Saccharomyces cerevisiae S288C: one gene and its partners. The protein of the gene in region 1 binds, or shares a complex with, the protein of each later gene. Each region holds a gene or a part of one and is shown on either strand. Other genes may lie near its edges.

Region 1 (2,899 bases):
CGGAATATCAGACTCGTCATGCATAAACTCTGGAATTTCTAGTTTCCCGTCCGCAAGTATGCCGTCATCATCCTCGTCGTCCTTATTAGTATCCAAATTTGTCACTTTGACGTTCATCGACAACTGTAAGTCAAAGTAGCAAATCGGCTTGCCCTTCCTTTGAGATACGTTGGAGTCACCGGTGATGCTACTCACCTGGGTTAACTCAATTTTGCTCTTCCCATCAGAGGAAACAGTGGACAAACTCGTTAATTTACCGTTCAAGTAGTCCTTAGACCAAGGTAAGGTGTTTTTATCCACCCAATGCCAGTTATTTGGATTCAAGACAACCATATTTTATCGTAAATGTGTTGTAACTTTCCGATCGTTTCAAACTTTAGTAGTAGTTTGATGATTTTGTCCAAAAAGTATTTGCTTAAATTTCAGCTTTTTTCTTCTTCATATGTATTTCTTTTTTTCCTCGCTTTCTCTGCCCACTTTTTTCTTCTGTCTTCTAGAAAAATAGGCCTGCGCGGGTAATTTTGTCTACTTTTGCCTCTTCTTCGAGACAATTGGCACTGTAGTTTTCAACAGCTTGACAGATGTGGGCCGATACTTGATAGCATTTAACCAGGGAAACTGAAGCAGATCAACGTTCTTCTGGATCTGCGATACGAATTTCTTGTCGACCCTATCGTCGCACCGCAGCAGCAGCATTCCATATTTAGAAACCGACTTGAAGGTATCCATGGCACTCTTGGGCAACTGCACCAGTTTAACCGTCATGGGCGCCATATAGCATAATAGCGGGATTTGCTGCAAGAGCACAAGCGGTACATCAGGGTCCTTATTGCACACAAATAGACATACTGGGTCGCTGTTTCCGTGAGCGCCGCTCAAATACTGCACAATTTCATTGAAATCTGTATACAGCTCCCAAGGGTAGTTCTCCTTCGATTGAATGTGAATCAACTTATTTATGATAGAGGATTGCAGCAGCTGCCAAATCAATGGCTGATCATGCACGCGCGGCCACATATGTGCTTCGTTTGTGAACGGATTGTCTAGCACGGGCTTATACACCTGCCTTCTTTTAGCTATTTTCTTGTCTAGAGATTTTAACGACCCGGACATGCTACTTACCGTCTTGATTTCCTCACCTTCCTTCTTGTTACAGTCCTCATCTCTATATCACTCATAATCTGAAAAATTTCACTTAAGCACGCAAATGCTATTTTTTACTTATTGCCCGCACGAGAAAATCAGAGAAAATTGAACTATGAGAACGGTATAGATCAGGGAATACATATCTGAGAACAACATCAAATATCCGCCCTGGCAATAGGATGTGCATAATTGCAGTTAAAGAGTGCATCGCATTTCCCCCGATTTTTGTTCTACTGAAAGTATGAACCCTGCTGTCGCGTTGGCCAGAACAGCCAGCTAGACCAATGCACCTTTATCACGTGACTATTACCGGGTAAAGTTACGGACATTTCGCGTTTTTTCCTGTTTTTTTTTTTTTTCGCGGTGCGGTGTTTTGTGGGAATGTGTTTGTTTACGGACTGTTTCGACATTAAGCAGAATGTTTCAACAGTGAGCCATTCTTGATTTGGTCATCTGGGCCCTATCTCCTTTTACTATGAATTTGCATATGTTTGTATGTTGTGATCTAGCACTTCTCCCAGAAGTGCATTTACAGCAGGTTTTTTGTTTCGTTTTATAACACTCTGTTTCGGTCTTTCTTTTTAAGATTGTCAGGGAAAAGAGTTCCAGCGACTGCTTTATACCTGTCCTCCGTCCTTCGAAGAAATAAAGAGGAGAAACCCTCAACGTAAAACATATAAGCAGTTTTCAAATCATCCACTCGCTTTTTCAATTCTTTACTATTGCTCAGCACGACCAACTATAGCTCAAAGCGTGGCTAGCCTTTGATTTACCATTATTGCTCTTTTTTTACTTTCATTTCTACCTTCGTTTTTCGCCAAAAGAAAACAAATCTAGTGAAAACAAACATTGCTGTTCGGTTATAGGACACGCTTTTTTGTATTTTTACAGACTTTCTGGTTTCTAATTGTTTCTTCTTTGAATTTCTTTTTGACCAACAGCATTATAGAAGTGGAATATGCACCTAGATCTCATACACAAGTCCTTCATCTTAGTGTGGCTCATATATATACGAGCCGCGTTGGCTGACCAATTCACATATAAAGCTTGCTATTCAGCTAGTGATATACGAAAATTGGGGTTGACTTACAAGGGTGTTTACGAGTATCAATCAGTTTCCTACTGTCAAAATGAATGCCCTGGTCAGGCTGTCGTTGCTCTTTTCAACGGTACAGGTTGCTACTGTGGTGGTTCCGTAGCTCAGTTACAGTCTTTGACGCAGGTAGATTCGAGCAAATGTGATGTTTCGTGTGCTGGCTGGCCCTACCAAAATTGTGGTGGTTCTTCTGCCATGAACGTTTATATCAATAACGCTGCTTCTACCGCGGACTCAACTTCATCTACTGCTACCTCAACATCGACAACATCTTCATCAAGCACAAGTGTTAGTTCAAAAACGTCCACGAAATTGGACACGAAAACTTCAACTAGTTCTTCTGCTACGCACTCATCCTCTTCCTCGTCTACAACCTCCACTACCACTTCCTCTTCAGAGACAACTACTTCCTCCTCTTCTTCATCCTCTTCCTCTTCTACGTCTACTACTTCTACTACTTCTACTACCTCTAGTACTACTTCTACTTCTTCTTCTCCTTCCACCACTTCCTCTAGCACTTCTGCCTCTTCCAGTTCAGAAACGTCCTCTACGCAGGCAACTTCTTCATCCACCACATCGACCTCATCCTCAACTTCGACAGCAACGGTCACTTCTACCCCCTCATCGACTTCAATAGGTACTTCCACGCATTACACT
Region 2 (2,907 bases), on another chromosome or scaffold:
ATACGTTGCGACGATCTTACTAATATTGGATGCTTCAACACTATAGATAATATAGTCGCTTTGCCTGGATACCAAATGACCATTTTTCACCAGTTCGAATTTAGCTGAGGCATATTTTTCTTTCAGTTCATCATAATATTCTTCCCTATCACAACATATAACACCCCATCCAGCATCTGTAAATTTATTAGCGTATAATAGGCCCATATCACCCAGACCAATTATACCAATGACTTTTGTGGCTTTCCATTGCTCAATCTTATCCTCTGATACCATGTTTATCAAGTGGATATGCTGTCCTCTTTCCTTCAAGTGCTACGGTATTCTTGTAATTCTAAAAACTTTTCTTGGTTTGAATAATTCCAGTATCACTTTCTTCAAAGCTTATTTTCATATAAGGCCTCAAAAAAAAAAAAAAAAAATGACACATAGCTGAAGTGATAAACTTACTACACTGGTATAACGCTTATTAGAGGAAATCTAATAATAAACTGTTAGCTATAAATAGTATACAATAACAATGAGCGCTAAAAGTATGACATATTAAACATAAATACGCAATTCTACACCGCTTACAGCCCTTTTCTTTAGTTGGGTTTCTTTATCGTCATCTTCAACATCACTTTCCATGTCGATATCAGCTTGGCCTTCAGTTATTACTTCATCAAGAACTTCTATAGTTTTAGTGTAAACCTCTATTTTCTTGTTCTTCTGATCTTGAAAATGACAACCTAATGCCAGTGTCTTTTCTACAGCTTTACCCATACCCAAAACCGCAACATAGGATGATCCTTGCTTATGAACGCTATCGAGAAACTTATTTATTCTTTTCAGTGCACTAACGTATGGTGTTGTAGACTTAACGAAAATTGTTGTGTGTATTTGCTTATGCGTTAGAGTTTTCAAAGATGGGTGTTTCGTTACTCGTTTGGTAGATTTGTTGTGTGTATTCTTTTTGAGTGCCATCCTGGGTGCAGAGTTCTCTTTTCTTCTTTGACCGTCAATCTTATTGCTTATTTCTGAATAGTTAAGTAGCTCTTTACAGAGAGTGAAATTAAACAAATGGTCAAACAATCGCAGGAAAAAAATGAAGAAAAAACATTTTTTCGAAATGACATGAGAAGACTATTGATGTACTTCTCATGATTATTCAACCATATTGAGCTGGACAGATTTTTACCAAATTGATTTGGGAATTTTAGACATTATTGTTGTCATACCATTTTCATATTCAATTCAACAGCCTGGTGGGGAAGTAAAGAAATTATCCCCGAAACAAATACCCTTTTATGCTTATTTCCAAGAATTACTGGAACACCAACTGCAAGGGTAAACAGAATTGATGAAGAAGGTGCAATCACTCGAAACTACTTCATACTTTCTCTTTTCTTTCATTGATCTTAATTTAGTTCAGTGGACATCATTTTGCTAATTTCAAGGAAAGAAATGGACACAAATTCTAAAACCAAAGTACAAACTGAAAATAAAAAAATTAAGGCGAAATTTATACATAATCATGGGCAAAAGCCCTCTCTTATCCAAATTACACCTCCAATGATTTCCAGCACTCTGTTTCACGCATATCCACTACTACTAATATTCGACAATGCCTTAGCGAATATAATGTGGCTGTCCGACGATAAATGTTTAACATTCATTTATCTAACGAGCATATGGCTGACCATAAGTTTTTTTATCCCCGTTGAAACAGAGGCTAGCCATTTTCTGCCATTTACAAAGATTTTGAGACTATGGTTAGGCATTATAAGCGGGGCATTTCTATTCTTATCATTCATGTATTATATTGTTTCATTGATAGCTTCGTTAAGAGACACGGAACCTCCTACATTGGATGAAATTGTCGTGCTACTAGAGTCTGTGTTGGATAAACTGGAAGTACTGAGAAACGAGCTGAATGTTTGGAAAAAATTAAAGCTTTCATTTGATGGCGTCAATAAGGAGTGTTCTGGCAAGAGGTTGTTTTGCAGATTATTCTTATTCGGTACAATTTTTCAAATTATTATCATGAGATACATATCACCGGGAACTTATACTAGATTTTTTATTATTACCGGCTTGATATACAATACGAGTAGTTTTCAAGCTACCTTAAGGCTACTTTGGAGGTTTACTGCTGTTAGGAATTTCTATTATTTGGGGATTGAAAGTTTTAAAATTTCGAGTTTCTTACCAAAACACTTAAAGATGGAACAAATTATTCCTTTATCTCAAGGACGTGCAATCACGGTGCCACTGGTAGAGGTATTGCCTAAACTACTTCGGGACAAGAAGGGTGATGACCACATTCATATTCTACAGCTTCTACTTAATGAGCAAAAAGATAACTTTGGTAATGAAGACCTTAAAATACTAGAAATTGAAGTATACGAAAATCAAAGAAGGTGGTATCAAAATAAAAATTGGAGTACAAAATTACTGCCGTACGAAAGACAAAACTACTGCATAGAAATTAAAAACACTGATGGAACTTTAACCATGAGGAGTTGTTTGCCCCCAGATGGACTTGGTGAAGAAGAATTACCCAATAATTGGCATTGGATCAATGATAATTGGGACGGAACTGATTGGATATATTCAGATTCAGCATGGAAAGAAATTGGACAATACAGTTCTTTGGAAAGTTTTACCAGGTCAAGAAAATGGAAACGACGCCTCTTCCATTTGTAATAGTATTGCTTTAAGCCTCTAAACTGCATATATAGTTGGTTGCCTAACATTATCATGATATGAAGAATTTTCTCATACTTTGAAACATAGGACAAGTAAAACTTTATAAGATCATGTGCACTTTGTGTATGTTATTTCATAATTTTCATTAAATTCTTATAACGGCTTATGTAGAAATAATTATCATTTTTATAATAGAAGATTGAATATAGAGGTAAT
Region 3 (2,970 bases), on another chromosome or scaffold:
CTCGAGAAAGGCTTATCGTGCCATTCAGCTTAATACAAATATATTAAAAAAACAAGATACTTTATACTCACCTTTGTATGTTACGATCGATAGGAGAAATCGATAATATACGTATACGATAAAGTCTGTACAATATGACTGCACCACACAGAAGTACTATTCATATTCTTGGGTTGGGTGCCATGGGTACCGTTTTGGCAGTTGACCTTTTAAGATTTACCAATGCCCTAGTTGTGCCCTTATTTAGATCACAAGAAAGACTTGCACAATTTCAGAAGACAAATGGGAACAACATTTCGATTCGCAAACTTTATTTGGAAGGCTCGCCAATATTTTCTTATCCAGTGGAGAAATGCGAATGCCCTGAAACTTTCTCTAAAAAACCTATTGACAACTTAGTCGTCACTACAAAGACTTACCAAACCAAAGAAGCACTAGCTCCTTATTTGCCTTATATTAATAAAAATACAAACTTAATTTTGATTCAGAATGGACTGGGCGTTTTAGAACTATTGAGAGAAGAAATCTTTACAGATTCAAAAAACAGACCACATTTATTTCAGGGTGTCATTTCTCATGGCGTTTATCAGGATAAAGCAGGAGTTTTCAATCATGCTGGGTGGGCTGGTATGAAAATTGCCAAATTGCCTTGGACTGAGGAAGAAATGATTCAAAAAAAATCCGTAGTCGAGGACGATGCAGCCAATAACTCATTAGTAAAATTATTAACAGAACCAAAATTTGCCAAGGAATTTGGAATAGAACATTCCACTTATCAAGAAATGCTCTTTGGTCAATTATTTAAATTTTTGGTTAATGCATGCATGAATCCAGTTACGGCTATTCTAGATTGTGTCAATGGTGAGATGAAGGCCAGTTGCGGTCCAGTTTTCACATCTATTATTGACGAGTGTTTACAAATATTGAGAGTTGCTTATAGGCCATTGTTTCAATACCACGAAAAATACAGCGGTAATGAAGAATACCCAGAAATGGATGTCAATGCAGTACTGACAACCGATAACATGGTCTCCGAAGTCACTAGAATTGGCTGTGACATCAATTCTAGGAACAGTAGTTCAATGAGACAAGACACTTTGTTCTTAAGAGACATTGAAATTGAGTATATCAATGGCTATGTCGTCAAATTGGCTGATAACTTAAATCTAGACCCAAACTGCTGCAAGGTTAATAAAACTATCGGAGAATTGGCCACTATGAGATTAGCATTGAACAGGTCGAGAAGTATCAATGGTGACTGGAGAAAGGACTGAAAATGCGCGGATATCAGCCAGAACATATACATTTATAAATACTGATATATATACACTCTTAATGCTTTATTCGAGCGAACCTTAACAGTCTGAAGGCAGATTAATTTGTCAAGTGCCTCTCTTTTGTTACTACTACCAGAAAACATGAAAAATGTATGTGCGATGCCCAGAATTTTACCTCGCATAAATGAAAAAATTTCATTTTACCAGTAGAAAATACTTAACCTAAACAGACACAAAAAACAAAAGTGAAAGCATTATAGAACCGAGAATGCTGGTAGATTTGAATGTACCGTGGCCACAGAACAGCTATGCAGACAAAGTTACTTCTCAGGCGGTCAACAATTTAATAAAAACGTTATCCACATTGCATATGTTGGGATATACACACATCGCCATAAATTTTACAGTAAACCACAGCGAGAAATTCCCCAACGATGTTAAGCTGTTAAATCCTATCGATATCAAGAGAAGGTTTGGAGAATTGATGGATCGAACAGGGCTAAAATTATACAGCAGGATCACGCTAATTATCGACGATCCATCGAAGGGACAGTCTCTTTCCAAGATAAGCCAGGCCTTTGATATTGTAGCAGCATTGCCAATCAGTGAAAAGGGCCTTACTTTATCAACTACCAATCTGGATATTGACTTGTTGACCTTTCAGTACGGGTCGCGCCTGCCTACTTTCCTTAAGCATAAAAGCATATGCAGCTGTGTGAACAGAGGAGTAAAACTTGAAATTGTTTATGGCTATGCTTTGCGTGACGTACAAGCTCGGAGGCAGTTCGTATCCAATGTAAGAAGCGTCATCAGGAGTTCGAGGTCCAGAGGCATTGTTATCGGCAGTGGTGCCATGTCACCACTTGAGTGCCGCAACATATTAGGAGTAACAAGTCTAATCAAGAATTTAGGTCTTCCGAGCGATAGGTGTTCGAAGGCCATGGGAGACCTAGCTTCACTCGTCCTCCTAAATGGCCGCTTAAGGAATAAGAGCCACAAACAGACCATTGTTACCGGTGGTGGTAGCGGAAACGGCGATGACGTGGTCAACGATGTTCAAGGCATCGACGACGTCCAGACCATCAAGGTAGTGAAAAGGAGTATGGATGCTGAACAATTAGGCCATGCTTCCAAAAGACACAAGCCTTAAAACGATACGCTAACCTATAACATATAATGTATAAATGATAATTAAATACGTACCCGGGTAGTAGACATCGCTATTATCATCACAATCCACGAATCGCGACGCGAATTCGCGAAAAGACAACAACAATAAAGGAAAAAAAAAACAAAGAAATTTTTCGACGATTTCCATAGAGAAGGAAAACAACGAATAGACAAAAAAATTTGGGGATCCAAGGCATATTCTGTTACATTGTACCTGTAGGATTTACTGAGAGCTGAAACCATTGAAAACTATTCTGCAATTAATTATCTTCGTACGGACTATCACTACTTTTTTTTAAGAAAGACTTATTTCTATTGTTTATTGTTTATAATTCACTCTGAATACTCGCTTATTAATTGTGTGATAAATTCTAAAGGATGACTGAAGGAAAGAGGCTGCAACAGATGGAGCTTCCTCAAATGAAATCCATTTGGATTGACGAGGATCAGGAAATGGAAAAATTGTATGGATTCCAAGTAAGGCAACGATTCATGAATGGACCTAGTACGGATTCCGATGAAG

The links. Proteins that work in one complex are often made in the same cells at the same time.
Region 2: POP3 (region 1) and POP7 share a complex: the UniProt entries of both Saccharomyces cerevisiae proteins name them as parts of the nuclear RNase P and RNase MRP complex.
Region 3: POP3 (region 1) and RPP1 share a complex: the UniProt entries of both Saccharomyces cerevisiae proteins name them as parts of the nuclear RNase P and RNase MRP complex.

Annotation. Positions count from the first base shown.
Region 1 is NC_001146.8:105,901-108,799, reverse strand, and holds POP3 (Pop3p), read right to left. Parts: upstream 1,114-2,899; coding exon 526-1,113; downstream 1-525. Other genes in the region: HCH1 (Hch1p), read right to left, coding at 1-333; WSC2 (Wsc2p), read left to right, coding at 2,105-2,899. UniProt on the Saccharomyces cerevisiae protein: Required for processing of 5.8S rRNA (short form) at site A3 and for 5'- and 3'-processing of pre-tRNA.
Region 2 is NC_001134.8:570,925-573,831, forward strand, and holds POP7 (ribonuclease P/MRP protein subunit POP7), read right to left. Parts: upstream 967-2,907; coding exon 544-966; downstream 1-543. Other genes in the region: TYR1 (prephenate dehydrogenase (NADP(+))), read right to left, coding at 1-276; PEX32 (Pex32p), read left to right, coding at 1,447-2,688. UniProt on the Saccharomyces cerevisiae protein: Component of ribonuclease P, a protein complex that generates mature tRNA molecules by cleaving their 5'-ends. Also a component of RNase MRP, which cleaves pre-rRNA sequences.
Region 3 is NC_001140.6:222,334-225,303, reverse strand, and holds RPP1 (RNA-binding RNA processing protein RPP1), read left to right. Parts: upstream 1-1,545; coding exon 1,546-2,427; downstream 2,428-2,970. Other genes in the region: 2-dehydropantoate 2-reductase PAN5, read left to right, coding at 135-1,274; GIC1 (Gic1p), read left to right, coding at 2,826-2,970. UniProt on the Saccharomyces cerevisiae protein: Component of ribonuclease P, a protein complex that generates mature tRNA molecules by cleaving their 5'-ends. Also a component of RNase MRP, which cleaves pre-rRNA sequences.